Linked DNA regions of Cricetulus griseus. The protein of the gene in region 1 interacts with the protein of each later gene in a pairwise test. Links are inferred from orthologs where the notes say so. Each region holds a gene or a part of one and is shown in the gene's direction. Other genes may lie near its edges.

Region 1 (10,518 bases):
GGCCAGTTTGGTCTATAAAGCATGTTCCAGGACAGGCTCTAAAGCTATACAGAGAAAACACACCAATGGCAACCCCTGAGTTTCTTATTAAGAGGGTATTTAAAAAGAATTCTATGACTAGAGCTTGAGCTAGGCAACTTAAGAGAGAGTGTAAAAAAAGCAGAATTCTGCCATCAGGAAGTAGAAAAGAGTCTATGACTGGACATCTTGAGAAATCTTACAGCATGAAATTAAAGTGTAACTGGTAAAGAAGCAACAGTCACTCCAGTCTTGGGGATCTGTTTCCACACGGAGTGGTTTTGTGATCTTATGCCCATAAATACAGTGGTGTTATTTAATGCTGATATTCTGTACAATTGTTTATTGTCAACAGGACACCACAGTGAGCCCCAAAGCAGTACCTGGCAACACAAAGGCCTAAACCCTGCTTTTCTCTTTATTCCTAAAAGTGTGCAACAATTTATACAAGACCAATTCAGCCACAAAATTATGCACAAATTACTGAGTGGATAAAGGGGACTAGATTGGTAGGCAAGACCTAGATATAAAACACAGTAAGAACGTTTATAATTTAAGGATTAAATTCCACCCCCCAAATCAGCAAAAAGAAGGTTAATGGGATTCCAAACTATCCAGACACTCTATAAAATGTACAGTTACATTTTCCATGGCATTATCATCAGGTACTTTCCCCTAGTAGCTACTATCATAGTATGCAGATAAGAAATAGTTTTCAGGAAAATAGTTTCTACAAAAGACCTGGACTAGAAACCCATTATTCATCATTTACTGATTCTGGTTAACAAAAACAATATGTTCTTTAACGATGTCTAGGATTCCTTATTTATAAAATGGAAATACTTACTACAGTGTTATGAAAAAATTCATCACATATGTAACAGAGTCTGATACTTATCACTATGCCAGTTACTTTACTGTCACTGTATTTTCATAGTCTCTGTATAATTAAACATTCACTTTTTAAAAAGCATCCAGACTGGAGGTACAGCTCAGAAACAGAACATGTACTTAGCATGCATAATAGTCTCAATCAATTTCCAAAGGTTTAACCTTTTCAACCTACTTTACCTATTTTAAGATCACAAAAAAAGAAAAAGGCAAGAAAAAAATGGAAACAGGGTGATAAGAGAAAGGGAGGGAAAGGCTTTAGATGTAAAGTATAGTGAGATTTAAATCATTATTACCTGATCCTTGATTGTCATAATCCAAGTCAACACAAGGGGAAATGTAAGACAGTACACATATTCTCCCCAATATGAAAGCATGAGAAATAGAACATGACTCCCCTTGTAAACCAGGATATATTCTAGACTGCAAGGGATGCTAGATTTGTAGAGAAGGTGGATAAAATACATGATCCTTGACTTACTATTTATATCACATCCCCTGCCACAAATGACAGATTAGTCAGTCTGGGATTTGGGAAGCAAATGAGATAGTTTTAAAGGATTCAGTAAAGATACCAACAATTTAATTATGTCCGGAGCTTTCATCAGCTATATAGTACGTCCCAGCATAGCCTGATCATATTATATAGCAAGACATTGTCCAAAAAATAGCATTCTTATTGTTGTTGACATTGGGTTTTGGTATGTATGTCTATTTGTTACTGGGCTGGGGTTGTAGCTTAGTCAGGATATCACTGACTAGCAGGTGTGAGCCACTAGATTCCATCCTCAACACCTGGTGGGGAGCTGACTTTGTTTGGTATGGTGGCTCATTAATAATCCCAGTACTTTGGAGGGTGAAGTGTGAATAACAGCTTAGGTTATATAGGGAGACCCTATCTCAAATATATCATACCCCCAAAAATGTTAAAACTATGGGGGGGTCAGCCTGCAGAAAATGACTCTACAGCAGGAAAAGAGGACTAGGGAACGGAGCCTCAGAGAGAAATAAGAGAAATAAGGCAGGAAGCAAGGGAAGGCCCCTGTGAAAGAACTATAAGCAGACAAAAGGAAAGACAAAGTTCCTCGTCAACCCACCAAGAAAGGGCCTCACAGTTGTCTTCTCCTTAGCAGATGACATTCACATGAACTGACTACAGGTACATCCAAACTTTAACAAATCACTCCAAATTTTGCTTAAAAGCATATGCTATGTTGCTGAGGGAAGAGCATGAGGTTGGAGAACAGGGAGTGAATAAATACATGACAGCATTTAAAGCTTGAGCTTTTATCAATACACCCTTAACAGTTACGGCAGGCATACATGAAGTAGCTTTGGCTATGCGGAATTGCTAATACACTTCTGTCTCCTACTCAAACTCTTGGGTCTACTACTCAGGAAGTACATGACAGTATACTCAGAATGATGTTTAAAACCCAGTTGTGGAGGGCTGGTGAGATGGCTCAACCATCAAAGGCTAGGCTCACAACCAAAATGATAGTATGGAATTTGCTCAAGTTTGTAATAGTTAAGCAAAGCTTTTATGAAAACCACATTCGAGGAAAAGTGTTTGTTTTATCTAAACCTATCTGCTCCCTTCCCAGATCACCCCTGGGCAAGGAGATCCAAAAGATCTTCTCAATGGGAGCATGTCAGCAGATACTTCACACCGGAAATTTCACATAAAAATAAGGGGAAAAAAGACAGTGTCTCCCCCTACTTTACTCGGGGCTCCTTTTTGCATATCAACATGACAAGTCATCTTCCACATAAAATTCAACTTCTTCTCGTGTAACTGGTTTTCTATAAAGCCTGTGGAAGGAGACAGAACTAATCCAAAGTTTTGTCCTCTGACCTACACATACATGTCGTGGCCTGAGCTCCACCCCCACCCCACCCCACCCCGCGCGCTCACACACGCGCGCACACACACAACAACAAAAAAAAAAACAACAAAAACGTATATTCAAATTCCAAATAAAAATACTAAAATCAAGAAATAGACGGTTCTAGTTCATCAAGCAATCACAGTAAGAAGAAATAAATCACAGCAGGTTTTCATTGAGATACGGAGAAGATTGAAGTCTGACTTGCAGAGTGTAAAAACATTAACCAGCCCCGGAGGTGCAAGCACTCTGGGTTAGCGCAGCCGCGGCGCGACTGCCTGAGAGAGAAGGCGCGGGAGAGCCAGCACTGTCTGCGGGCGTCGCGGGTAGCTGATGTCTCGGAAAGCGTCAACGCGTTGTCAGGCAACCGGCTCTCAACCACCCCGGGGCAGCAGGTCGGGCAGCTACCCGGGAGTCCACCGCCCGTTTGCATCAGGGCACCGCCCCCGGACTGGCAGCCGCGAGACCCGCACCTGGGACGGAGCCCAGGCCGCCTCCTCGCGACCCGCGCCTCCAGACCCCCTCCGCAGCGCCCCCGCGAAGACGCGAAGGTCCCCTGCTCCGCCCGGCAGGCTCGAGCCCCCGCCAAGCCGCGGCCACCCAGACCCGGGCGCGGACCCAACCCGCAGGCTCCCACGCCCGCCACCCACTGACTTACTCCCACCGACGCGTGGGGAGCCGCACCCGGTTCCACGGTCAACGACCGCGACCCCCGGCGCTGACCAAGCAACCGCTCGCCCGCTCTGGCTCCGCCTCCCAGGCCCAGCCCCCCGCCCGCCCTCCACCAACCGCCAGGCGCGGCCCCGCCCCTGCGGGCTGCGGGTCGAGGCCACGCGGCCGAGGGCGCCCCCTGCAGTCCCGGAGGCCACGCGATGCACTCGCTACAGTGTCAGGGATGGGGGTGTGGGTAATGTAACGTGGCCGCCGCTGCAAGGATCAATCTATCCCAGACGCCCAGCACGGGAAGGCCTGCACAGTTGTCACGGGTTGTGTGGCACTGACAGGAGGACTCTCAGCATTCTTCTCACAGGCATTACTCCCAGCCCAGCAGGTCCGGTCAACTCTGTCCTGGGCTTTCATTACCATTTCAACAAGTTACACTGTGTACGTTTTCAGTGGCTGGATGTCTAGCTTCTCAGGAAAACGGAACTAATGATACAACTAATGTATTCTAACGTCCCTAGTGTGTCCTAAGTTATACTGGAAGGGGGTTCTATTTAACTTGGGTTTTGTTATTTTGGCCCGGGGGAAGGGCTCACACTCTTGATTCTCCAGCCTCCACCTCCCAAGTACTGGGATTACAAGAGTGGAACAACGTCCTATATGGTTCTTTGGTTCTTGCTTTGTTTTTTTTTTAACCCCTCCTCCGTGACTTGTTGAGACGGGTCTCCTGCAGACAAGGCTAGCCTCAAATTGCTATGTATGTAAGGCTTTCCTTGAACTATCTTATCCTCCTGCCTCCACTTCCCAACGTCTGGGATTACAGGCAGGTTCAACAACACTCGACTTTAGAAGGTAGTTAAAAAGCCAATTCCTCCATCTTTTCTGAAACCAGTGTCAACACCAACAGCTGTGGCGAAGAGTTAACAAATCTGTTTTTGTTTTTAGCTAACTTGTCTGCTAAAAACCTGCAATAAAAGAGGATACAACACAAAGCTTGCTGGGCAAAACAAAACGTCCATGTCAAGCGGCTACAAAGCCTTCGAGGTCCTGTGGAAGGAGCAGTTGCTTTCAAAGAGTTAATGGAAGGCATCTCTGAGCTGTGATTTTTAAAGAATAGTGTGTGCCTTACTGTAGAAATATCAGGAAGTGCATTTCAAACAACACTTAACAACGAATTATATTACTAAGCCAAGGAAAAAGTACTAATAGAATGAAAAGCTGACGGGGGGGGTGTCTAAAAGGAGACAGTGGCGCTGAAGAAGTCTGTAGGAACTGTTACAAAGAGCTATGTTTTTTTTTCATAAGCAAAAAATAATTACATTAGTATTAAAACAAACACAAATTTCATGCATGCCTTTAACTTCTAACCTAGTGAGCATTTGAGGTTGGGAATGAGAGGGAAGAAAACCTAAAAACAATGACGACTGGAACAAGTTTCACTTTAACCGCGGAAAGAAACAGCCGAGATTAATTCTGTACTGAAACAAACAACGTTCACAAGAGCTGGAGACAAACTTTATATGAAAATAGAGTACTAAGGCAGCCACAGCTCCTAACATTTGTATACATGTTACTTTATAAACACGTCAAAAAGTTAACCTTAGCAACCGGGGACTTTTGCTGCCCTCCGGTCAACAACAGCGAAAACACAAAAGCGAAATAATAACCTCAAACCCGGGAGGTTTTCCACTACGCCAAGAATTATCTTAAAAGAGATTGTCACGGTTAATTAACTTCCCCTCCAAAATCAACATCCAGAGCTACTTACACCTCGGTTTTCCTAGAAACATTTAGTAATCAAAACTATTTTTTGAAGTAACTAAACACACACACACACAAAAAAAAAAAAAAAAAAAAAAAAAAAAGTCCGAGACCTAGTCTCCGCCCACTCTCAATATGGCGGAGGCTGAGTCTGCGCAGTACGGGCAGGGACGGCCGATTGCTTCCTGGCATGTCAACAAGCCCTTCTTCCGGCGCGGAAGGCTGAACCATTCCCACCCCGAAACTTTGTCTCCCTCTCAGCTCACACACACAGTTTTATGAGGCAGCATATCCTCGTTTCATCCGACAAGCTGTTCTTAGCTCACCGGCCTCTCGGCGGTCCCTGTACCGCCGCGCCGCCGACGCGCCCCGACCCTCCGAATGGTCTGGACCAACGTCACCTCCGGTCCTAAGTGTCATGGCTGCCTTGAGAGGCTAGTGAGTGTGCACCCTCGGTGGGGAAGGTGCAAAGCCCGCACGCGGAGGCCCAGCGAAGGAAAGTTGCATCTCGGTGGTGGAGGCGACAACTTCTCCGGTCCCTCGGCCATGGCGGCTTCCGGGAGTGGTATGGCCCAGAAAACCTGGGAACTGGCCAACAACATGCAGGAAGCGCAGAGTATCGATGAAATCTACAAATACGACAAGAAACAACAGCAAGAAATCCTGGCGGCGAAACCCTGGACTAAGGAGTGAGGAGGTCCCTGGCGAGACGCAAGGGAGGGAAGGGATGGCGGGAGTTTAAGAGACCCAAGCGGGGTGGCTTTCTGGGGGGCGACGACAGAATACCCGCCACGGTGTTTTTAGTCTGCCTTATCGGGTCGGTAGAGCCTAACCCCTCCTCTGGGGCCTGCTTCGATTCCCCTTTCAGAAAGTTTCTTTAACAGACTTGTTCCAGAGGGTGTAAAGAACTGACTTGGGGTATCACTTTCTCAACAGGATTGTTTTTATAAATCTCCCACACTCTGTCTTGAACCTGGTGGATACATGCACCCTGTTGCAGCCTTCAGTGAATCCCAAACTGAAGAGCGCAGCTGTTTTCAGAAGTCAAATGAGCAGGCCACTGATCTCAGAACAAAGAAGCCATAAGCTCTTTTAGCAGTTTTTTTTTCTGTGACCATTTTATGGACATACCAAGTCCCTTACCACTTCTCTAAAATACTACTACAACGATTCATGTAAACCAGGAATTATGAAATAGGGTTTAAAGCTAGCCAAATCCATGTATCTCTGGGACTGATGACAAGTCAAAAGATTTCTTTAGAACAGATTGTGTTAAGGACATTGAAAAAAAATCACAAAAAAGATGCTGTCTAAACAAATCACTGTTTCCAGGTTTTTTGTCTTAACAAAGCTAGCTTCCACTGTCTATTCTATTTCACAGTGCTTATTGAGTAGTTAATGTGAGCCTGGCACTGGCCTGAAGATTCTCATGTCTTTTAGTAATCATGAAAATCCAGTACTGTACTTTGATTCCTTTTCAGTAAATAGGAAAACAAGCAAATACATTCAGAAATTCACCTCATGATCATACTATAGCAATGAACCCAGGAGCAACCGACTGAAAATCAGGTCTCACAGCTGTCAATTAAAACATTGACTGGTCTTAGGAAACTAAAATATCTAAATTTATCTGTAAGATAAAAACAAGCCTAGCTATTGGTGATGTTATGAGGTAATTTATTAAAAAGTTCTAGATGAGCCTATGTAATGAGAGCACAGTAATAGTTGTCTTTGTCTTTTTCTCCAGTGAAGATGAACCGGTTTTTTAATTTTTGTCTTGGTTTCCAAGACCAGGTCTCAGTATCTTTCAGCTTGTGGTTGAAATCTAGCAGCAGCTGGAAAAGCCTTGGAGATGCTGAGTGACCTGCATAGATTACCTACATATTGTTCCTAAAAGGCACATTTTAGATTGATGTAAACTGTAGACTTTCCTCTAATTATGCTCATCTGAACACGTAAGCTACATCAGTGGTTTTAAAATGTGTCTGTTGTTCAATAGTTTAATCCCATACAATGATGACAAAATAATCACAGGAAAAGTGGGGATATTACATCTACTTTTTAACCTTCACGATGATATCACAAGGAAGCCACAGCTTCAGCACACTGAGGGTATGTTAAGAGATGGGTTAGTAAGGCTGGTAACAGCACCTTAGATTTTAGTGCTGCAGGGACTAAGCTAAGCGCTTCATGTACTCTTCATACTAACTGTGAAATACCTATTTACAGAAATACCTACTTATGTAGCTGTTAATTGGCCAAGATTTAAACCTAAGCGAATCAGTTTCAGAAGCCACATTTGTAAATTTTAGGTCCTCCAGATCAGTGGGTAAGAGTGCTAATTGTTAAGCATGCAGACCTGAGTTCAAATCCCCAGCAACTGTATAAACACATGCAGGGATATGTATGTTGTTATCCTTAGCATTGGATGGAAGGAGAGCAGAGATCTATAAACTGGTCTTCCAGCCTAGGCATAACAATCAGCTTCCAGTTAGTATCTGTCCCGAGGGAATCAAGTGGAATAAAATAAAGGGCAATAAGTAAGTGCTGAAATAGACACCTTAATTCCAGCACTGAAAGTCCAGAGGCCAGATTGGTCTACAGAGTGAGTTCCAGGACAGCCAGGGCTACACAGAGAAACCCTATCTCAAAAAGCAGAAGAAAAAAAAAAGGGGAGGGGGGACACCCTGTGATCTCCATATGCCATCTGGTGGCACACCGATGAACATGTACCATACACAGAAATTTAGGCCTGAGAAAGTAACCAGAGATATGATAATCCCATGTTAATGGAGAAAAAAAACTATGGAATTTGATGGTATTCCCTCCGATAGTATAATTAAAAATTACCTTAGACTCTTTACTTGGGGGTGATGGGTTACAACCTCTGATGTGCTGTTTCCAGGCACCTAGTACTTGCTGTTTTCTTTTTCCTCCCACATTTGGCATTCCCATCACTGTTAATCCCTTTGGTACTTATTCTTTATTTTCACAGAAGCTGTCTTTTGAGATTGTAATTTAAATGAAAACTTTAATAACATTGTGACTTTTGTTTTGTAGTCACCATTACTTTAAATACTGCAAAATCTCAGCGCTGGCCCTACTGAAAATGGTGATGCATGCCCGATCAGGAGGCAACTTGGAAGTGATGGGTTTGATGCTTGGGAAAGTGGATGGTGAGACCATGATCATCATGGACAGTTTCGCTTTGCCTGTAGAAGGCACTGAGACCCGAGTAAATGCTCAGGCTGCTGCATATGAGTACATGGCTGCGTACATAGAAAATGCCAAACAGGTAAAAATATTGTTGCTTAAACTTTTAATAACTCGGGCTGGAGAGATGGCTCAGAGGTTAAGAGCACTGACTGCTCTTCCAGAGGTCCTGAGTTCGGTTCCCAGCAACCACATAACCATCCGTTATGAAATCTGGTACCCTCTTCTGGTGTACAGATATACATGGAAGCAGAATGTTGTATACATAATAAATAAATAAGATCTTTAAAAAAAAACTTTAATAACTCTTAAGAATCTCAAGATTCTGGGTTTCTGAACTTAAAAGTGTCCTTTTCACATTCAATTTCATATTTTAAATTTAACAATTTTATGTAAAATATTAAAAGTCTGGTGAGATTTATAATATAGATAGTGGCAGACAGGGGAGAGGGTGTCTTTCTGAAATAAATTTCCAGTCAGTGTCAGTTGTGTTTAGACAATAGAAGTTAGACTGGAGGTGTAACTGGTGGTGGAGCTCATGTCTGCCTTCCTAAGCCCTGAGTTCAAACAAATGAATGGATTAATGAACTAATAAATAAGAAATTTAGGAATTAATTATTCCTCAGTAGAAACCCAGCTAAATAAATGGCAGGGCATCTATTAATGTACTATGTAGGCAAGCTTGAAAAGAAAAAAAGCTCTTTAGGCAGTGGAAGTGAATGCACTGCCTAAAGTCCTAGCACTTGGGAGGCAGCAGCAGGGAGATCTCTGAGTCAAAGCCAACCTGGTCTACAGAGCAAGTTCTGGGACAACCAGGGCTACACAGGAAACCCTGTCTCAAAAAAAAAAAAAAAAAAAAAAAAAAAAAAAAAAGCAACTATCAGGGCTGGAGAGATGGCTCAGTGGTTAAAAGCAAAGACTGCTCTCCCAGAGGATACAGGTTCAGTTCCCAGCACCTGCCTGGCAGCTCGCAACTGTCCAGTTCTAGAGGGCCCAACACCCTCACCCAGATAAAGATGCAGGAAAAACACCAAAATAAAATAAAAATAAATTAGTTTCTTAAAATAAGCTATCTGGACTCTGATGACACCCTATGGAAGGCCTCACCATCCAGGGGAAACAGAAAGGTTGGAGGAGGTTGGTAGGGGAGGACAGGAGGGAGAGGGAACTGGGATTGTCATGTAAGACAATCTTGTTTCTAATTCAAATAAAATCTGAAAAAAAAATTATATAATACCTCAAAAAAAGCTATCTGTGTATTTACTTACATGGAACAGTTCCAGAATTGTTTGTTCAGTTTAAAATATAGGTAGCTAGGAGTAGAATGTTGTATGTAGTATGCAACTATTTACAGATATGTTTGTTAATCTATAGAATATCTCTGTAAGAGTACGTAAGATAATAGAGGGATAATATCTAAGCTAAGAAACAGGTAGAGGAGGGGGAAGGATATGGGAAAGAGACTAAATACCCTTGTTCTTGTACCTTGATAATTTTACACTGTACACATGTATCATCTATTCAGAAAATCTTTACACGATGTTATCTTTATGTAGTGTTACTACATAAAGCCTGTAAATGACACTTTCTGTGAGATTAAACCATACCTCAAACAAGATTTTTCTTTCATATTTTAGGTTGGACGCCTTGAAAACGCAATTGGCTGGTATCATAGCCACCCTGGTTACGGCTGCTGGCTCTCTGGAATTGATGTTAGTACACAGATGCTTAACCAGCAGTTCCAGGAACCATTTGTGGCTGTGGTGGTAAGTACTTGTTCTTTTTAAAGAAATGGGGTCTCACCAGGCATTGGTGGCACACGCCTTTAATCCCAGCACTCGGGAGGCAGAGGCAGGCAGATCTCTGTGAGTTCAAGGCCAGCCTGGTCTCCAGAGCAAGTGCCAGGATAGGCTCCGAAGCTACACAGAGAAACCCTGTCTCGAAAACCAAAAAGAAAAGAAAAGAAAAAAAGAAATGGGGTCTCTGCTTTTGCAAAGGACCCTGATTTGATTCCTGTCACCCCCCACAGAGGCTGGCAACCATCTGTAACTCCAGTTCAGGGTATTTGATGCCCCTCCTCTATATG
Region 2 (10,311 bases), on another chromosome or scaffold:
GGCAAGGCTGCTTCCAGGTTGGGATAAGGGCTCCTCTTGTGTGGGCAAGATCACCAGGCTGGGCAGGGCAGCCAACACACGTGAGAAACAAGCAGAAAGGATGGGAATTCCCCTTCCCCATCTATACATAGGCCAGCCCAGCTTCTCATCTGCCCTTCCAACAAGAACATGGGCTGGGAGTAGGGTACATTAGTCACCTGCCAGGAGGCAGCATGGGCTTCAGATCCAGAGGTTTTGGTGCAAAGAAGTCATTGAGTGCTGAGCTCCTCAATACATGCTCTGAGGTTGCCAGCAGTGCCTGTACATAGGTGTCCAGCAGTCGCAAACGTACCAGACCTCGGCCAGTATGCCCCCGACGTGTCAGCAGTGGAACATCTGCCCGGGTGTCACAAGAACACACTGGGACTTCTCACCCACACTTGTTACCCCTGTGACCACCCCTGTGACCCCTGCAAGCCTGACCAGGAAGCTTGGGAAGAACTCTTTCAGATCTCCGGAGCAGGCCCGCCTCCACTGGGAAGGTTTTCTTAAGGATCTTCTGAGGGGAAGAAATGGGTGTCAGTCCCTGAAAGTGGAGAGAACCCCCAAAGGGAGGAAAGAGTCCCTGAGAGAGCTACAGGCAGGAAGGGAGGTCATGTAGCTATTGGCCTCTGGATTGGAGGATGAGCCACCCTGTTGAAATAGTCCCATGTTATTTACCTGGAGCTTCCTAAACTCATCCCAGCTCCGGCGAACAGACGAGTCACTGTTGTCTGACCAGTGCACAGAGAAGGCAAATGTCTATGAGGGAAGATTGAGTTTCCGTCTCTCTTAAGATTTTGTCAGCTACCCTTCTGCCTCTTTGTAGCGGAGGATGGGGCTGTATGGTCCTACCTGAAGTCGCTCCATCTGCACCAGGGCTACAGCATGCGCTGATACTGGGTGTCTAGGACCCGCCATGGTTGTGGCCTCCTGCAGGGTGCTTGTAGGGGCTCTGAGCAGCCGGAAAAAGTGAAGTGGAATTTCCCAACACTGCCCTAAACTGTCCCTGCAGAGCATACACACCTGGAAACCTTTCAGTTTCCTGGTTATTCTTCAAGCACAAAATCTAAGAGAATTCATCACAGCAGGACTGTGCTAGGGGGAGGGGTAAGCCAGGGCAGGTAGGAGGAAAAAATGAAGCCCTTTGTACTGAAACAGAACTCTAAGGGGCTGGAACTGCCACCTGGGGCTCCTTTTCTCCCTCAGCCAAGGGAACAATGGAGGTAGGCAGCTCCTCCTAAAGTACCGCCTCAACCTCACCTGCCCCCTCTGCCTCTTCCCCCACCCTGCTGTAACTCCCAGGGTGTGTCTAACAGCTTGATTTTTGAATTTGCCTGTGGGGCTATACATTGCTATCATCTGAATCAAGTATTTCACACCTGGGTCCTTTTAAGTTAGGTTTTTTTTTTTGGGGGGGGGGCAGAGGGTTGAGACAGGGTTTTGCTAGCTAACTTGCAAAGGCTGGCTTTAAACTTGGGATATTCCTGCCTCAGGCTCCTGAGCAGCTAAGGTTGAGACCCATGTAACTAGGCCATGAAACCTACCTCCTTCCTTGGCCAAACCTTGACATCTCCTTAAGCAACTGGTTCTTACATACAGGCTATTTCAGAGACAATGGAAGATGAGAGCAGTAGTAAAGGGTTGAGTACCTACCACTAGGGACCTAGAGGAATTGTGAGCCCCTCTCATCACCCACCTGCTTACTCTCACTGAGATGTACACAGAGGAGCCCCAACTCTGTCTAGTAAGAAGTTCCTCCCTGTCTCTTAATCCACCCAGCTGGAGAGATGAGTCAGATAAGAGCACTGGGCTGTTCCTCCAGAGGACCCAGGTTCAATTCCCAGCACCCACATGGCAACACACAACTGTCAGTAACTCCAGTTCCAGGGGATCTGACATCACACAGACATACATGCAGGTAAAACACCAGTGCACATAAGAATAAATAAAAAGCTGGGCAGTGGTGATCACACTTTTGTTTTTTGAGACAGGGTCTCTGGGTAGCTCTGACTGTCCTGGAACTCACACTGTAGACCAGGCTGGTCTTGAACTCACGGAGATCTGCTTCTGCACACCTTTAATCCCAGCCCTCGGGAGGGAAGCAGAGGCAGGAGAATCTATTGAGTTTGAGATCAGCCTGGCCTATAGAGCGAATTCCAGAACAGCCAAGGCTACACAGAGAAACTCTGTCAAAAATATCACTCTAACAAAAATAGAAGAAATCTTGCAAAGTAGAAATGGGATCAGGCCAAGACAGTTTTGTCCCAAATTGCCCAACGTCTCCCACTGCTTTTAGAACAAATCCCAATTTCTAGCATGGTTGGTGGGCCATTGCCCAGCTCTGGATCCTGGCCTCCTACCTTCCCAGAGTCCTGCCCCCAGTGGCCTTTGGTGCTTCTGCAAAATGCGATAGCCTGAGCTGATTTCTCATTTTATGGGGCCTGTGCTTAAGGGTCTCCAATTTAGGAGCGCTATATTCCCACACCCTATACCCAGCTTTCATCAGTTTGTAAATAAAATTTATTTCTGTGACTGGGTTTTCCCCATCTTCACTACTGGTCAAAGGCTAAAGAGGCTAGGGAAGGAAGCTTGTTCCTTGTTCTGTTCAGTGCCGGAAACAGCGCTTGGAGCAGAGTACCACTGTACAAATATTTGCAGAATGAATAAATGAACACATGGAAGAGGGAAAAGAATTCTTCCTGTGATGGCCCAGGCTTCTAAGTCACGTACTAGAAGAGGTGGCAGCTACGTAACAGAATTCCAAGTTAGTCCAAGTTACATGACTTTGTCTCAAAAAAAAAAAAAAGGAATTCTTGAGGCTGAAATAGGCATAATAACCTCCCCCCGCCAATGTTATAGGACGCGTCCCAGGCCTCTCCCAAAGTTGCGGGGCCCAGTAACTAGGGCAAAAGTCGACCCAGGCCATTGGCGCTGCCTGCTCTGTGAGGCCACGCCCCGCCGCGCGTTGCCAAGCACCCAGAAGCGTGTAGGTGGGCGCGTTGTACGCCAGAAAGGCCCCAACCTTGGCCGCTAGCGGGTAAAGGTCTGAACCGAGCGATGGGGGCGACGAGAGAAGCATCTCAGACCTCGTCTCAGCCCGACCTCCCAGCGGGGCCGCAGCGCACCTTCCACAACTCACTACACTGCGGGAGGAAACCCGAGCTCCCCCATGCACCACGCACGCCCGGCCCGCGGCGGACAACCAGAGCCCGAGCCGCATCCCCCTATGCCGCCTCGGCCCGTGCCTCCCGCTCCGGCTCCTCCGGCGCCGGGGCCTCCGACTCCGCCGAGACCCGGGCCGCCGCCTCGACCCCCAGCCCCGCCCCGCCGCCAGGCTCCGCCTCCTTCCCCAGCGTGAGCTCGGCCCCCGGCCGCCTTTCCCGCTCCAGCCGCCGCGCGCTGGCAGTGGCGTGCGCGCTCGCCCTGCCGGCCTTCTGGAGGCCCTCTTGGCCCCGCCGTCTGTACGCCGGCAAGATGGCGGCGCCCAGCGAGCCCGAGGGCGCCTCTCGCAGCAGTCTCTTTTCCTTCCTGCCCGGCGGCGCGCGCTCTGAGATGACAGACGACTTGGTGACTGACGCGCGGGGCCGCCGCACCGGGCATAGGGACGCCGCGGCCTCTGCCTCAGCCCCGGGGCCGCAAGGTTTGCAGCACGGGAAGCCGCCGTGCCGAGCCTGCGTGGACTTCAAGTCGTGGATGCGGACCCAGCAGAAGGTGCAGATACCCCGCCTGACCGCCCAGTCCCGGTCCCCCGCCCCACACCGGGTTTCCTCAGGGTTGGCTATGCCTAAACATGTCCACCCCCTCACCCACACACACCCCTAGGGTCGGACTTTGAGCCTTCAGCCACTGGCTGGCCGATCAGTTTACTAGGCTGCCAACTGTAAAGGGGAGCATTCTTGTTTCCTTTATTCTTTTGGTGATACTGGGAATCCGAACCCAAGGCCTCTGGCGTGCAACACAAGCAATCTGCCACTGGGTTGGAATTTTGTGGGCTTCTGGTTGGGGAAGAATGAACTGACCCGTAGTCGGCCTACTTCTGCAGCGGGACATCAAGTTTAGGGAGGACTGTCCGCAGGATCGGGAGGAATTGGGTCGCCACACCTGGGCTTTTCTCCACACGTTGGCCGCCTATTACCCGGACATGCCCACCCCAGAACAACAGCGAGATATGGCCCAGTTCATACATATATTTTCCAAGTTTTACCCCTGCAAGGAGTGTGCGGAAGACATAAGGAAGAGGTAAGTGTGCCTTACCTCTGCCAGTAAGGCCCTGAAAGGGGCCTGGCGGATGCCATAGAGAGGGGACTAGAAAAATAGATGCAGAGGTGACAGGTTGCTAGAAGAGGGACCACTCAAACGAATGTTGGGTCATGGGAGCCCTCTCCTTCCTCCTCAGAGCCTAGGTCTGTGAATTGTTAGCCTTAGAATTTTTAGGAAGATTAGCTAAGATTCCATGTTGCTTAACTTCTCTAATCTCTCGGTGTGGTTACCGATTTTAAAAATGGGAATGAAAGTCTGGCGTTAGTGGCCCATGCCTTTAATCCCAGCACTCTGGAGGCAGAGACAGGTGGATCTCTGTGAGTTCGAGGCCAGCCTGGTCTAGCCAACACTCACACACACACACACACACACACACACACACAAAAAAAAAAAAAAAAAAAAAAAACTTGGTTCACTCATTGGCTTAACTTAATCTGTTCTTTATAGGTATTTCTAGGTTGGACCTATTAGGCACTTGCACTTGCTATTTGAAGCCTGGGTAGTTAGGAATGAAGGGTATCTCTTGCTGAACTAGGCCTCTGGTGCCAAGAAACACTGTGCCAGGCCCCACCTGTCTATACTCTGCCTGGGGCTAGAGACCATGGGGTGAGGCTCCCTGATTGTTACAAGGTTGTAAAGTCGCCTGCTTTACTATAATCTTAATTCTGGGCTCTTGCCAAGTCAAGTGAGCGAGTGAGCAGCCCTGGGAGTTGCACAAGTCCAGGAAACTCCAGAGTCAACCCTGCTCTTGGCTTTCACATCCCCCTAGAGCATAGAGGCATCCCCAAGTTTAATTCAAAGCAGTGCCCCAGCTCTCTGTCCTGGGCCCTAGCAAGGACAAAGGAGTCAACATCTTATGTTCTTCCTGTGCTTCTGTCACAAAGGATAGGCAGGAACCAGCCAGACACAAGCACTCGAGTCTCCTTCAGCCAGTGGCTGTGCCGCCTGCACAATGAGGTGAATCGGAAGCTGGGCAAGCCTGATTTTGACTGTTCAAAGGTAGATGAGCGATGGCGTGACGGCTGGAAGGACGGCTCCTGTGACTAGAAGATTGTGAGCAGAGCATGTGGGACATCTAGCCAGGGTCCATGGGCAACCTGGCTGGAGGGACAGCCCGCTGATTAAAGTGCATCTGAGCCAAAGCTTGTTCCCGTGTTTGGAGAGGGGTCCCTAGGACACTGCCAATGGGAACCCTACCCACAGGGCTAAGAAGGGGAGGTGCCCAGGGACTAGAGATGAGAGAGGCTACCCTATACCCTTTATAATGCAGCCTCTTGCCCATTATACACTTGGGACATAGCTGCCCCGTAGGAAGATGGGGTGGACCATTGGCTTCCTACTGCATAACCAGGGGTGCCTACAGAACTGGCAGCTCTGTGCCATTTCAGAATTGAAGCATGGTACTGAGTTGTCTATTCTGTACTCTGTCCCCAGCTCTAGTAGGACTTTTTACTTAGGGTGTACCCACCATACTGCCCACTGCCTGTGGCACATGGTCTACAGCTATGACAACATGCCTGTCAGCAGATCCAGGATCAGATGATCCTGAACTTCTGAGAGTTTGAGACCAAAATAAAATGAAGTGACTTAGGGCCTGGTTTCTGTGTGCTTTGTACTGGGAATTACAGTGATGGACAGGCCTGCTTTTGCTTGTCTGTGATTAGTTGGGTCCTCTTGTCTGAAGTTCTGGCAGAAGTCACTATGGAGCAGCTGAGACAAGCTCTTCATGGTGAGAAAGAAGCTGAAGATGACAAGGGGGCTTCTGGATTCTGAGTGTACACCTTCTAGTTGCTGGGCTCTTCTGAATCTGCTCAGCTCCATCTGTCCTTGGGCTAGGCTCCCAACCAGAGCATCCCAGCAGCAGTGGGAGCCCCAGTTCTCAGCATAAAGATATCATTCTTTCCTGTGTTGGCCCTTTTGTGGGTGAGGACTAGCTTGCACATGACTTCCTTGTGCTGGCTACTTTTCCAGCACCCACATAGTGATTCAACCATGTGCAATTCTAGTCCCAGGGGATTCAACACCTTCTGACCTCCATGGGTACCAGGTACAAAAGCCCACACAAATACATTCAGGCCAAGCACTCTTAACATTTATTTGTTGTCCCTGTCTGTTGATCCCCCCCCCCCCGCCCCCGTTTCTCTGTGTATCCCTGGCTGGCCTAGAACTCACTCTGTAGACCAGGCTGGTCTGGAACTCACAGACATCCACCTGCCTCTGCCTCCTGAGTGATAGGATTAAAGGCATGTGCCACCACTGCCTGGTTCAAAACACATACAAATGTCTTTACTTTTAGCCCTAGCACTGAGGACTATGGTAGTTGGATCTCTGTGTGAAGTTTGAGGCCAGCTTGGTCTATATACTGAGTTCCAGGTCAGTATGAATGACCTGAGAATGAGAGAGGGGAAACCAATAACTCAATACATGTATTTTTAAAAAATCAAAACCTTCATTTTGTCCCTGTTCACAGGGCATCCAGGAGAAGACAAGTAGAACTGTAGTTAGTGTAAAGGAAGGTTATAGTTTGAGCTGGCATTTGAGAGCTGCCAGCACATACAGAGCACGAGAGGCAACACAAAGGAATTAAGGGTGCAGCATGATGGCACACACCTTTAATCCCAACATTACATAGTGAGACCCTGTCAACCGAGGGAGAAGGGTCCCAAGGCCCCACAAGCCCACAGATCTGGCAAATGGAGGACAGAAAAGGGACTTTCAAGAAGTTCATAATGGCTAGGGATGTAGCTCAGAGGGAAATGCTTGCCTGGCATGCATAATACCCTGGGTTTTATTCCCAGCAATGGGAATGGGGCTATGAGGTAGTCATTGGAGGTATATGCTGTATGGATGAACCAGGAGAGTCAAACTTGATTCTGAAATGCAGGTGGAAGTGCCTGGCCAGATGCAGGGTAGGGGCTTGATCATACTGGGGGTTTTGATGGAAAGGGGGGGAAGGGAGAGAGATACTAGAAATAGATGGGTAATAGATAGCTTTTTTTTTTTTTTTTTTTTTTTTTTTTTTTTTTTTTTGAGACAGGGTTTCTCTGTGTAGCTTTGGAGTCTATATCCTGGCACTCACTCTGGAGACCAGGCTGGCCTCAAACTCACAGAGATCCGCCTGACTTTGCCTCCCGAGTGCTAGGATTAAAGGCGTGCGCCACCAACGCCCAGCTAGATAGCTTTTTTTTTTTTTTTTTTTTTTCCTGTACACAGAAGTGTAACCAAAAGTTTTTTGTTTGGCATTCTGCCACTGGGCTATATTCTCAGCCCAAAAGAACTGTTTTTCAAAGAATGTGCTGTATTTTTGGGTGCTGAAGAAAATTATGAAGGAAAAGGGAGAAATGGGTGGTAACATCTTCTGCCCGTGGCTAAAAGAGGATGGGATGGAATGTGATTTGAGGTATCAGAGAGTTGCCCAAACTGATGGACTGCATCTGTGTCCAACTAGGCTGAAGTGTGTTTCATACCAGAACCAGTGGGTTTCCTGAGGGACTGGACCAGGTACTTCCAGCTACACTTCCCTCTGACGAATGAACAGGTCACAGTGAAGTGCTTGGCACTGCATAGTCTTAATATGTGTAAACTTTGCTTATACCTGGCTCTGGTCCCAGGGAAGACAGAGAGACAACTAGGGGTCTCACTCATGATCTTTTACTATACCCCAGCTTCTGTTGTGACCATGAAGGTAGAGCCATTCGGTCTCCTACCATCCTGGCACTGAAAGAGCATAAAGTGGGTCTGTGGGATTCCCAGCAGGGGCCAGGGTAACTAGATAACATCTGGGACAAGATCTTATCTCTGCTACTTCTCCCCTCCTTGCACTCAGGATTAAATAGCTACAGATCAATCCTGGAGACCAGAGATGGAGAGAGTTTATGGAAGACATGACCCAGCCAGAAGAGAACAGAGATGTTCACCCTTCACTCCTGCTGGCCACAGTGGACCCTGTCTGCCTCCCAGACAAGTTCCCCTGAAGGCAGACACCACTCTTCTCACCTGACCCTGTTAGGAAGGTACAGCCTGTGAAGGAGAAGCCATAATGCAGTGGGGATGTGAGCCACAGGCAATACAAGTGTGTACAACATCTCTGAGCTGATATTTTATTCATTCACAGCCAGAGAGAGGTCAGGGTCTTCTTTCCTTAGGTGTTCTTTGATTTTCTCTCATGATTAAAGGGCTAATGAGAAAGGCCCCCAGTGATTTACCCCCGGTCTTCTAAGACTAGGGGCTGGGGGCTGGGTCTCTCTCCCTGAATACAAAGGGCATGATACTATGCCTCAGTTTCCCATTACATTCTCACCAAAAGGTCCTCCTGGTCAGAAAAGCAGGATGATGTGTTTGTCCTATCGATGCTCTTGGCCGTGGCAAGATCTGAGCTCAGTCAGTCTTTACCTTCTCTTGTCTACCTCTAAAACCCATGACTAAACCTCGTTTAGTCTTCCAGAGAATGTCCTCATCTCCGACTCTGTCATACAGGGAACGGTGAGCAGGAAGGACGGAGGGCAGGGCTCAGGCCCCCAGCGCGTGGACCCAGTCGGGGGCGCTGGCTCGGCCCCGCCCGCGCCCCCGCCGCAGCCGACGCGCGCTCCCGGGAGGCGGGGCAGCGGCAGCGGCAGCGGCAGCATCCGTAGCATCAGCAGCCTCAGCAGCCTCAGCAGCAGCCCCGGGCGGTCTCGGGCAGGTCGGCGGGACAAACGGACAGAAGGCACAGGTCCCGCCATGGAGGGAGCCTCCTTCGGCGCGGGCCGTGCGGGAGCTGCCTTGGATCCCGTGAGCTTCGCGCGGCGTCCCCAGACCTTGTTGAGGGTCGTGTCCTGGGTGAGTGGCCCCTAAGCAAGCCCCTTCCCAGTACCCCATCTTCCTAACATCCCTGTCTCCCACCCTCACCAGCCCCCTGCCCATCGCCCCTCACCCTCCTCTCCGCCAGCCCCTCCCCCGGCCGCAGGTTGGGGTGACGTCACATGGCTAGGCGCGCCCACCTGCGGGCGGGGGAAGGGCCGGCTGTTACCAATAGACCTTGAGAGGTCACCGCTGGTCTCCCCCAGCCCTCAATTTATCCTTAGGTCTAATCCAGTCCCCTTCCTCAGCCTTCTCTTCGTTTTTCCGGTTCCCAAAACCTGGAAGCGCGCACAGGGTTGTGAATGTGATTCTCCAAGGGGTTCAGGGACTAAATTCCAGATGGGAGAGGGGGGTATGGTAACCAAGGAGGAATGCGCAGTTCCTTCCCTTTGCCAGATCATAAATCCACCAGGTTCATTTCATTTAAAGGGAGGTGGTCCTTCCTAGACCAGTTAGGTCTAGCTGTGAGTTGAAGGAGGGCAAGGGGGCTCCTCTGGTATAGTTAGGTGGGGTTCATCTGGGAGGGCTTCCTGGAAATGGCATGGAAGCTGTAGACTGGGGGTAATCTATCCCACTCATGCATGTCTTGCCTGTCCTAAACCCTAGGGCAGAAGATTTAGGAGATGGGTGCCAAATTCTGGATTTTGTCCAGCGGGCACTCATCTAATCTCCATGCCTGTCTTGGAGGAGGGCGGTTCCCAGGGTGGGGCAGCCCCTCCCCCCAAGACCTCGTGGACTGAAGCAAGACTCTTTTGGTCCTGACTTGTGGATTGCTCTCGAGGGACATGTCCATGCTGTGGCATTTTCCATGACTACATGACTACATTATCAAGGAGTTTTGGTGAGAGAGGAGTGAAATACAATTTGAGACTAGAGAACATTTCTTGGAGACACGGGACTACCTAGACTTAGAAGTGTCTGGTTTAAAATGACTGGTTTGCTTCCATCCTGCCACTAAGAACTGGCAGGCAGGAGGTACTGAGGATGGTCCAAACCTTAGAAGTCAGTTGTCAGTTTTAGATACCAAATGCTCTTGATTGATGTAACTGATTACTTGACACTGTAACTGATTACTCACGGCGGGGGTGGGGGGTGGGGGGGTGGGAGGGGGGGTGGGGGGTGGGAGGGGCACTTCTGGTGTTCACTATTGCTAGTGGACATCCTAGCCAGGTCAGTTTACTCTGTGTGGTA
Region 3 (9,727 bases), on another chromosome or scaffold:
AGCCAGATAGGGTCAGCAGAATTCAAGTAGGGCTGTGACAAACCTGGACTGGAAGCTGCTTCTCCATGGCCAGTGGCTTTTTTGCCTGGAACTTGTGTGACCCAGAGGCCATGTCTCCATGCCAACTGATCCCTACCAAGGGCAGCATGTGCAGAGCTGGTGTGTGTGGTTGTTGGGAGTTGGTGACAGACCTGTGGCACAGTGAGAGTGAGGCTAAGGCTGCGCTAGGATTGCATGCTCTTGGAAACATCCACATTTCATGGTCCAGGCTCTGGACTGGCTGCCATGACATGTCAAAGGTGGAGCCTCCTGAATCTTGCACTGTAGGCAGTACACATCTTGCAGACTCTGTTTCTAGTCAGAAAGGAAGTGAGATCCAACCCTTGCATCCCATCTCTACATCTCACTGACAGAGGAGGATGGCTCTGCTCAAGGCCTGGCCACACTTCCAGCAGGGGACACACAGAGACCTACAGTCAGGCCTGGACCAGGGGCAGTTCGGGTGTTTTCATGCAGTTCCATGTCCTCTGGGAAACTGGGGGCAGTACAACTCATTGATAACCAAACAGACCCTCAGCTGCTAGTCCCTACCCAGCAGGACTAGGGCAGAGAAGTTTCTGCATCAGGTAAAGAGATGACAGCCTTTCATGTGCCTCCTCCAGGATGTCCACACAAGATGGAGGTGGTAACACTTGCCCCTGGCTTCTCATCAGGGCGGTTGGCATGCTTGTGGGGGCTCACTGCACTGTCCACATTCCTGTCAGTGCTTCCTCCTCCACCTCAGAACTTGTGATGTCCCACCAGCATCAGATTAACTGTATCCAAGAAGCTCTGTGGTGACTGAGAGCCTCCCTCATCTGTGGCCTTGCCCTACTTGGAATGCCTGATGCACTCCGGGTCTCTGTTCTGCATTCGCTTCTATCTTGCCCAAGGTTCTCAGAATGGACCTGGACCTCCACAGGCCCGGGTAATGTGAGCACCAAGAGATGCAGTCCTACTCCACAGGCCCATGTGCAAACACTCTTAATTAGTAGGACTGAGGCAGAAGGCATGGGCTTAGCACAGGTGTTGGTTGGGCCTAGTGTTTGTGAGGCAGGGCCATGAGATGGTCCAGACCAGTCTGGGCTACTGTACTAGGCCTGATTCAGCTTTTGGGGTTCTAGAATGTTTGTGGTTCACAGATGAGGGATGCTCATCCTTTGTGTGTAAAATACCATTCTCATGTGTTTTACTTGCTTTCTGTTGTGGTTTGGCTTAGTGTGGTTTTGAGGAAACATTTTTGAGACAGGGTCTTACTACATAGTTGTGGTTATTTAGAACTCACTTTGTAGATCAGGCTGGCCTTGAACTCAGAAAGAGCTGCCTGCCTCTGCCTCCTGAGTGCCAGGATTAAAGGCGTGTGCCATTGTGCCAGGCTGGCAAAACTCTTGCTCTGTTGCTGAAGCTGACCTGGACTCCTGAGCCTCCTGAGGGCAGGGTCCTCAAGTGTGTGTCCCCATTCTGGGCTTCCATTTTGTGGTTTTATTTATTTTATTTTATCTTGGTTTTTTTCAAGATAGGGTTTCTCTGTGTATCCCTGTCTGTTCTGGAACTCAACTCTGTAGACCAGGCTGGCCTTGAACACACAGATTGCTTGTTTCTGCATTCTGTGAGCTGGGATTAAAGGTGTGCACTACCATGCCCATCATGGTTTTAACTTTTTATTTTTATTTATTTATTTTTTTGGGGGGTTTTTCGAGACAGGGTTTCTCTGTGTAGCTTTGGAGCCTATCCTGGCACTCGCTCTGGAGACCAGGCTGGCCTCGAACTCACAGAGATCCGCCTGCCTCTGCCTCCCAAGTGCTGGGATTAAAGGCGTGCGCCACCAACGCCTGGCTTGAACTGACTTTTAAAGAGCCCATTCCAATGATCAGTTATATCAGGCTCTGCCCAAGTGGCCATTTGGAGCAAGTCCTCAGATGAGGTGCCCCCTGAATCAGACCCCTTTTGGTATGTGTGTGCTGGGATGCTCTCCTTGCCTGACCCAGGGGAGGAGGGAGCATCATGGCGATGTGTTCCTTTGGCCTGTTGGGATGGATGTTGGTGTAGTGCCGAGTACCCTTGTTTGGGACTAACACCATCGCCTGGCCTTACTTTCCCTTTTTTTAAAAATCTTCATTTAGGCCAGTTTTACTGAAAGACTAAAAGCATTGCGTCCCCGGGGGCTGTTACCCTAGCCTATCTCAGGCACCTATGAATCCTCTGCCCATTTGTGGATTTGCCTGTTTTAGGCATTTCTTGTGGAGTCTTGTGTCTGGGTCTCTCACTGACCATGATGTCCTTATGGTCTCACCACATTGTGAGTGTCAGCTGCACTCCTGCTCATGGTGAATAATATTCCAGTGTGTGGGCAATCATGCTATGTGCCTGTCAACCATTTGGGAACCCTAATATTCCCCACTTTAAGCATTGGAAACAAAGGTACCTGGGCACTCATGTAAGGCCATGTAGGTGATGTCTTCCCTTCTCACAAGCATACGCCCAGGATTGGGTCTGTGGGGGCTTTGTGGCCAGAATACCCTTCCCCTCACTCAACAGCCACTCTTCCCCCTTGCAGCTGATCCATCTGGAGATCAAACCAGCCGTCCGCAACCAGATCATCCGGGAGCTGCAGGTGCTGCATGAGTGCAACTCACCCTACATTGTGGGCTTCTATGGGGCTTTCTACAGTGATGGCGAGATCAGCATCTGCATGGAGCACATGGTGAGGGCTCTCTGTTCCCATCCACCCTCCTTACCCACTGCTCCCGGCGGGGGTGTGGGGCAGTGGTGAGTGGGGCATGAATTTGTGGTCTTTGGGACCCAGGGCAGGATGTGGTCCCCACATTACACATGTGCCCACTGTGGGAAGTGGGTTCCTCTTCTAGTAGCTGTTTGTCATGCTCTGAGCTGGGGAGAATGCACTCAGGCACGTGGGCCCCAGCTTCAGATGGGAGCCTGCACTTCACTCTCTAGATAACAGTCTGGGTCTCCAGACTTGGGCAGGATGGAAGGGGGACAGTGAGAATCCTACCCTGTCTCTGCCATGCTCCCCAACCTGCTGTGCCAGGTGCCAGACCCCTGAGACTCACCTGCAAGGCTTGGCGGCTGCTGTGGTTCTCAGCTGTGCCTTGCCAGTGTGCAGACCCGGGGACCATTTTGTATGGGAAGCAGGGAGTGAATGTGAGCTTAGATGCACCTAGCTGGTGGGAGCCCCTCACATGGCCTTGGCCTGTCTCTCCCTTGAGCCTACCCTGTTTGCCTCAGGGAGGAGCAGGCCCGGGTGTGTGGCCCCCTCCTCCCATCTCTTCATAGATGTGTCGTCAAAGGCCTCCTGGTCCTCTGTAGGAAGGGGACTCTATCCTGTGTGTCAAAGAACTTGACTCTCACTGCCACAGTGGCTGGCAGCCCAGCTAGGCACAGTGCTACAGGAGTGCTCCAAGTCTGCAGGTACCTCCCACACTGGGCAGCTGTGTTGATATATGAGGCTCCCAGAGGCAGAAGGATTGCCTTGAGTTTGAGGTACTATCACAGAACAAAACAAAACCAAGCCAAGCAGTGGTATTTTTTTTACCATCTCAGTCTAGGGAGGCAGAGGCAGCAAGAGAGGAGTGCAAGACCATATGGACCCTGTCTGAAAGGATTGAAAAGAAGGCCACTCTGACCTTCCTTGCAGATGGAATTTGGTTGTAAATCGTAGATCACCTGCTATGGGTGTGTCCTGGGAGGAAGGGTAGCTTGGGGGTGGTGTTGGGTGGTCATTTGACTGGTCCTGGCTCTAGTCCACTTGCAGTTTTAGGATGCCACAGAAACTGTGCTTGGCTCCAGAGGTTACACTCAGTGACTGAGCCACCTGCTTAGCTCCTAGGGACAGGCAGCAGTGGGCTGTCCTCTCTATTAGTGGCTTGTGCTAGACAGCACACCAGAGAACCTGTCAATCACGGGAGAAGGATGCAGCTGTGGCCTTTGGTGCAGCTCTGAGTCCCACTTTATGGTGGTTCACATTCAGCCAGACCTTGGGAAGGGCAAGATGACACCCAGGCTATAACAGTACATGTGCTGTGGCCTGCCCTTGGGCTGACAGGACCTCTGTCTCCTCTTATATGCTTGTGTACACAGAGCGCTTGTCTCTGATATGTAATGTTTCAGCCCCATCTTAAGAAAAGGCTCCTGTGGGGTAGAGCTGTTCATCCCACCAAGAAGAAGGGGAGGGAGAAGTGGGGTCCTGCCATCCTCTTCCAAGGCCATACTTCCCACCAGGACCACCTCTCAGAGGCCACCTTCCTAGCTCCCACTGCAGAACCAGCTGTTACTTACTGTACAAGAGGAGCTGCTGCTGTGTGTCCTTAGGTATGACACAGCTGCTTGGAGCCTGCTGGGGTGCTCACACTGTCCTCCACAGTGTGTGTGGCAGCTGTAGAGGCGTGTCAGGGAGAGCAGAAGATTCTGCGACTCAGCCTGCTTCATCTGTGTTTGAGTCTTTCACAAGAAAATATCTGATACAGCTGGGCAGTGGTGGCGCACGCCTTTAATCCCAGCACTCAGGAGGTAGAGACAGGAGGATCTCCATGAGTTCAAGGCCAGCCTGATCTACAGAGCAAGTTCCAGGACAGGCTCTAAAGCTACACAGAGAAACCCTGTCTCAGGAAGAAAGGAAGGAAGGAAGGAAGGAAGGAAGGAAGGAAGACAAAAACAACAACAAAAAAGAAAATGTGTGGTGCTGTCTGTGATGTTGGCGTTTTCTCTGAGCTGCCAACCAGCTCCCACATAAAGACATGGAGACTTACTGTTAATTATGAAGGCTTGGCCTTAGTTAAGGTTTATCCCACTAGACTCTTTTAACTTAATTTAACCTGTTTCTATTCATCCTTTACCTTGCTTTCATTCTGTATGTCCTACTCCATGGCTGGCTGGCTGGTCCCTGGTGTCCTGCCTCCCCAAGTTGAAATTCCTCCTCCTACTTACTCTCCCTGCCTCAAAGTCCTTCCTGCCTATACCTCCTCTCTTGCTATTGACTGTTCAGCTTTTTATTAGACCAATTAGGCCTTAGGCAGGTAAGGAAAAACAGCAACACATCTTTACATAGTTAAACAAATATTTTGCAACATAAACAAATGCAACACATCTTTGTATAGTTAAACAAATAATCCACAACACTGTGATGGTGACAGTCTATAGAGCACTAGGGGCACATGCAGGGACTTGCAGGTAGTATCTGAAGTTATGCATCTTGCCCTGGACACTATGACCAGGCTATGATCATCCAAGCTCACACCCAGGGACTCTCAGCCATGCCTAGGGATGTGTATAGCTGTCACACTCAGGGAGCTCCTGGTGTAGAGTTGGGAAGAGGCCAGTTAGGCCTCAGCAGATAGGCCAGGCCCTCCTCAGCACCCCGCATGGCCCAGTGTGGCCTGACAGAAGCAGTCACCCCTGCTGCCCTCGGTAGACAGCAGCCCTGTCCTTTCCCCAGTGCCCAGCCAGGGCCACCTCCAATCTTGGGCTCCAGTGACTCTAAACAGCTGCACAGGCCCACTGGGAGGCCAGCCACCTGGGTGATAGTCCACCTGTGTGTCCTAGCAGCTCCAGATACGGCTGGGTTTTCTGGACCTGCCCTGTGTGTCCCTCTGAGCACTGTGGCAGGGGAGTACAGGAGAGGCCCCTTTCTGACCTCATCTTCTGAGGTCCTATTTTCCTGTGTCAGTTTGGAAATACACACAGGTGTGACAACCTGGACAGTATTTCCTTATCTGTTGAGTATAATCAGGCTGGTGCCCTGGGTGTGAGAAACAGCCATATTGGTGATCTGTGGGGCACAGCCCCCTGAGGGCAAATGGCTGTGAGTCAGGCCTGTCCCATCTTGTCCAAAGAACTCCAGTGTCACCACCTTTTCCCCACTGTTTCTGAAACAAGGAGCTGGCTCTTGTAGAGGTGTGGTCTGTCACCACCATCACTCAGGTTCAGGGCTCCACAGCCTCCCACACCACTCCCCTACCTGGGGACCTGTGGAGAGCCGAGGCTGCTGGTGGTTGGGCTTCTTGACAAGGCCAGCTCCTCAGCTGCTGCCATCTCTGCATGTAGGATGGTGGCTCACTGGACCAGGTGCTCAAGGAGGCCAAGCGGATCCCTGAGGACATCTTGGGGAAGGTCAGCATTGCGGTGAGTTTGCCAGCTGCTGGTGTTCCACCGGCAGCTTCTCCCTAGGAGACTGAGCAGGTCAAGTCCTCATCTTTTTGGGGTTCTCTGCTAGCCCCTCCATGACCACACAAAGCTGGCTATGGATCGAGCACCCATCCAGCATTTAGGAGACAGGCAGCCTGGTCTATATAGTGAGTTCCAAGTCAGATAGGGCTACAGACTGGTCATCTCAACAGTTGGCTGAGGCAGGAGGATTGCAGTGAGTTTGAGGCTACCCTTGGCCCTGTGCTTTCAAATATAGACAGTGACCATGTGCTTCCTACAGGTGTCTGTGTGGGGCTTGGGTATTTAATGTGGCGCTCAGCTGCCATGGCACTATTCTCCTGTGGTTGGGGAAGGTCGTTGCAGCCTAAAGCTGGTGCTGTCGGCACAGAGGTTACCTACCTCTGACCTGGCTACCGTGCTTCTTCCCTGCAGGTACTCCGAGGCCTGGCATACCTCCGTGAGAAGCACCAGATCATGCACAGAGGTAAGTGGGTGTGAGTGCGTGCGTGTGCACGCTGCCACAGCAGGCTCAGCCTCACCCCTTGCCGTGTCTCCAGATGTGAAGCCCTCCAACATCCTGGTGAACTGTCGCGGTGAGATCAAGCTGTGTGACTTCGGGGTGAGCGGCCAGCTGATTGACTCCATGGCCAATTCATTTGTGGGAACACGCTCCTATATGTCTGTGAGTGTCCTGGCCTCCTCTGCACACATTCTTAGTAGGGTCCCTGTCCTATTGCTGCCAACCCCAGCTCTGTACCTGTCTCCTCTCCAGCCAGAGCGGCTACAGGGCACGCATTACTCTGTGCAGTCGGACATCTGGAGCATGGGACTGTCGCTGGTGGAGCTGGCCATCGGGAGGTACCCCATCCCCCCACCTGATGCCAAGGAACTAGAGGCCAGCTTTGGCCGGCCTGTGGTCGATGGCGCAGACGGAGAGCCCCATAGTGTCTCGCCGAGGCCCAGGCCGCCTGGACGCCCCATCAGCGGTACGGGACAGGGCAGCTATCTTGGGAGGGACAGATATGGGACCAGCTGCCATCCTGCTGGGCCTTTCTCTGCACCAGCTGTCCTCTGGACGGGGCATGCTGTGGTCAGCAGTCCTCAGATGGTCCTAGGCTTCCTGGGGACAGAGCTGCAAGCAGTGAGCGTCTCACCCTAAAGGCCAAGGCAGCTGCACCTGTTGCTGCCAGCTGGAAGGCCGGAAGCTCCTCTCTGGGGCAGGCATTGGCCAGCTGCTGGGTTTCCCAGCATTTCCTCACGAAAATAAGTGGGGCTGGGGTGCAAAGGGAGCCAGTCACTGCCAGCAGCCTGTTCCTCAACCTGGTGACATCCCTGGGGCTAGGGCCTCACCTGCACAGGAAGCCAGGGGTCCTGCGGAGACATCCAGCCCTTTGAGTGGCCACCTCAGCCACTGGGGGTCGGGGCAGAGTCCTGGTGTGGGGACAGCCTGTGCAGAGTGCCAGGTGCTAGGATTTAAGCAGCTTGTCGGGGAGTGTGGACATTTTGTGACTGGAAACGGCTAAACTCTGAAGCTTGCTTCTTGGAGGCCCTGCCGCCCAGTGGTTAGTACATCCAGAGCTGGGAGAACCTGTCCCCTCTAGCTAAAGGAACTCACATGTTCTGATGCCTGGCCCTCAGTCCCCTCTAGACATTTCCTGTCAGGGAGTGCACACTGTGTGACTATGTGCCTTGGTCTCACTAAGCACAATAGGAAGTTGCTGTGTGTGGCTGGACTTGCTTGCTGTGTGTCCCTTTAATGAGCAGAGAGCCCCCTCCTGGCTGCGCATCCTGACACTGGATTACAGGGCATGTTCTTCAGCTGACTCCTTGATGGCACGGGGAGGGGGGTGGTGGGGAGGGGGGGCAGTCTTCTGGCGAGCTGTGATGGTGACACCCAGGCCAGCTCACTACCCTGCTGCAGCCTCAGTGCAGCACCCGTGGCTGGACAGGCGGACAGCACAGTTCAGCAGCTAGCCATCAGTGCCTTGAGCAAGGCTCACCACCTGTCGGCCCCCTGCTCCATGTCCTCAGCAGCTGCTCTGCAAGGTCATATCAGTGTCCTTGCTTAGTCACCAGACCCCTCCCCCACCTGCCAAGCCCTAAGAGTGCCAGGGGCTGTGACTGACTGGGCTGGGAGCACCCCCAGTTAGATGAGTGATTCCTTGGGATATGCCTGCAGGAGTGAGGCCAGGCAGGGGCACCCTCTAAGTTTTGTCTCCCCCAGTTATCTGTCCTTTGTCCTGCCAAGTAGGTCATGGGATGGACAGCCGACCTGCCATGGCCATCTTTGAGCTGCTGGACTACATTGTGAATGAGGTGTGTGCCCTTGGCCTTCGGAAACTTTTCTCAGGGAGTTACCAGACCCATTGTGGATGTTGCCTGGGGGAGGGAACTACAGCCCTGTTGCAGATGCTGTGAGCTAGGGACACCTGGAATACCCCACGCACACCCAATGAGGGGCTAGGTTTACTTCAGGACCTCACACACAAGGTGATGTTTCTTCATAGCACCCCTGTGGTCCCCACCTTCCCCAGTAGGAAGTTAGATGTGTTTGGGTCCAGAGAGCTCCTGGAGCAGGCTTGCTTCTGACCTACTACCCTTGTACCTGAGGCTAACGCAGGAGGATGGCCTTGAGTTCAGTCACATAGTGAGTTCCAAATCAATCTTAGCTACAGTTCGAAACCCTGACTCAAAAGGATAAACTGCCGATAATGGAACAAAAAATCCAAGCCTGTCTCAAGAAGGAACCAAGGTCATTTGTGGATGTACATCCCCAGGACAAAGAGTCACTGGTGAACATGGGCTGTGGACCCTCCTGGCCAGCTATGACTGAGCCTGGGTGACAGGGTTGCCACTGTTCCTGGCAGTGACTCCAGATCAGCTACTGCTTCTCCCAGGAAGTCCTGGAGCCACGCTTCACAGGAAGGGCTCCACCTGTACCACAGGGCGTCTCCGCCCACCAACTTGATGGTATTGAAAAGCTAAACTGGAGAAGCTCAGCACAGTGATTGAGTGGCCAGAGTCCCTGCAGCCACCCAAGTGACCCTTCCCTGTCCTTCACAGCCACCTCCCAAGCTGCCCAGTGGTGTGTTCAGCTCGGACTTCCAGGAGTTTGTGAATAAATGGTGAGGTGGGGCCCCGGGGATGGGTGAGGCAGCTCCACACTCCAGCCATTGGCTCCTGGGCCAGCTACTATGTGCAGTTGGGGGTCAGTGTGTCCCCCAAACCTGGGGGCCTATGCACGGCCCCTGGTCCTGTCCCAGAGGTCCCACCCAGTGGACATCTGTTGGGGGAGGTGGTTAGCTGAGCCTCTGAATCCTCAGTCCTTGAAGTTTGGTCAGCTGTAGTGAGGTGTTTTCTGAACACAATGGGGCCAGGAGGCAGGCTTCTTGTGTGCTGAGTAGTAGAGTTGCAAGCTCCCTCTGCATTCGCTAGTTCATTAGAAATTTAGTTGGGGGGTGGGGGCTGGGGTTGCACTCCTGACATCCCAGCACTCTGGAGGACAGTTATCCTCTGCTAGTGAGTT

What was found.
Region 2: the proteins of Cops5 (region 1) and Gfer interact in a two-hybrid assay, tested with the Homo sapiens proteins (2 studies listed by BioGRID). The link is inferred for Cricetulus griseus from reciprocal best matches to the Homo sapiens genes COPS5 and GFER.
Region 3: the proteins of Cops5 (region 1) and Map2k2 interact in a two-hybrid assay, tested with the Homo sapiens proteins (2 studies listed by BioGRID and IntAct). The link is inferred for Cricetulus griseus from reciprocal best matches to the Homo sapiens genes COPS5 and MAP2K2.

Annotation. Positions count from the first base shown.
Region 1 is NC_048595.1:150,137,584-150,148,101, forward strand, and holds the start of Cops5 (COP9 signalosome complex subunit 5), read left to right. Parts: upstream 1-5,430; 5' UTR 5,431-5,600; coding exon 5,601-5,908; intron 5,909-8,279; coding exon 8,280-8,514; intron 8,515-10,069; coding exon 10,070-10,198; intron 10,199-10,518. UniProt on the Homo sapiens protein: Probable protease subunit of the COP9 signalosome complex (CSN), a complex involved in various cellular and developmental processes.
Region 2 is NC_048600.1:44,280,368-44,290,678, reverse strand, and holds Gfer (FAD-linked sulfhydryl oxidase ALR), read left to right. Parts: upstream 1-3,383; 5' UTR 3,384-3,495; coding exon 3,496-3,732; intron 3,733-4,063; coding exon 4,064-4,260; intron 4,261-5,165; coding exon 5,166-5,328; 3' UTR 5,329-5,873; downstream 5,874-10,311. Other genes in the region: Noxo1 (NADPH oxidase organizer 1), read right to left, coding at 1-58, 198-375, 463-565, 700-780, 874-973, 3,147-3,241.
Region 3 is NC_048598.1:101,892,757-101,902,483, forward strand, and holds part of Map2k2 (dual specificity mitogen-activated protein kinase kinase 2), read left to right. Parts: intron 1-2,596; coding exon 2,597-2,743; intron 2,744-6,099; coding exon 6,100-6,177; intron 6,178-6,633; coding exon 6,634-6,685; intron 6,686-6,758; coding exon 6,759-6,883; intron 6,884-6,973; coding exon 6,974-7,187; intron 7,188-8,452; coding exon 8,453-8,517; intron 8,518-9,264; coding exon 9,265-9,326; intron 9,327-9,727. UniProt on the Homo sapiens protein: Catalyzes the concomitant phosphorylation of a threonine and a tyrosine residue in a Thr-Glu-Tyr sequence located in MAP kinases. Activates the ERK1 and ERK2 MAP kinases.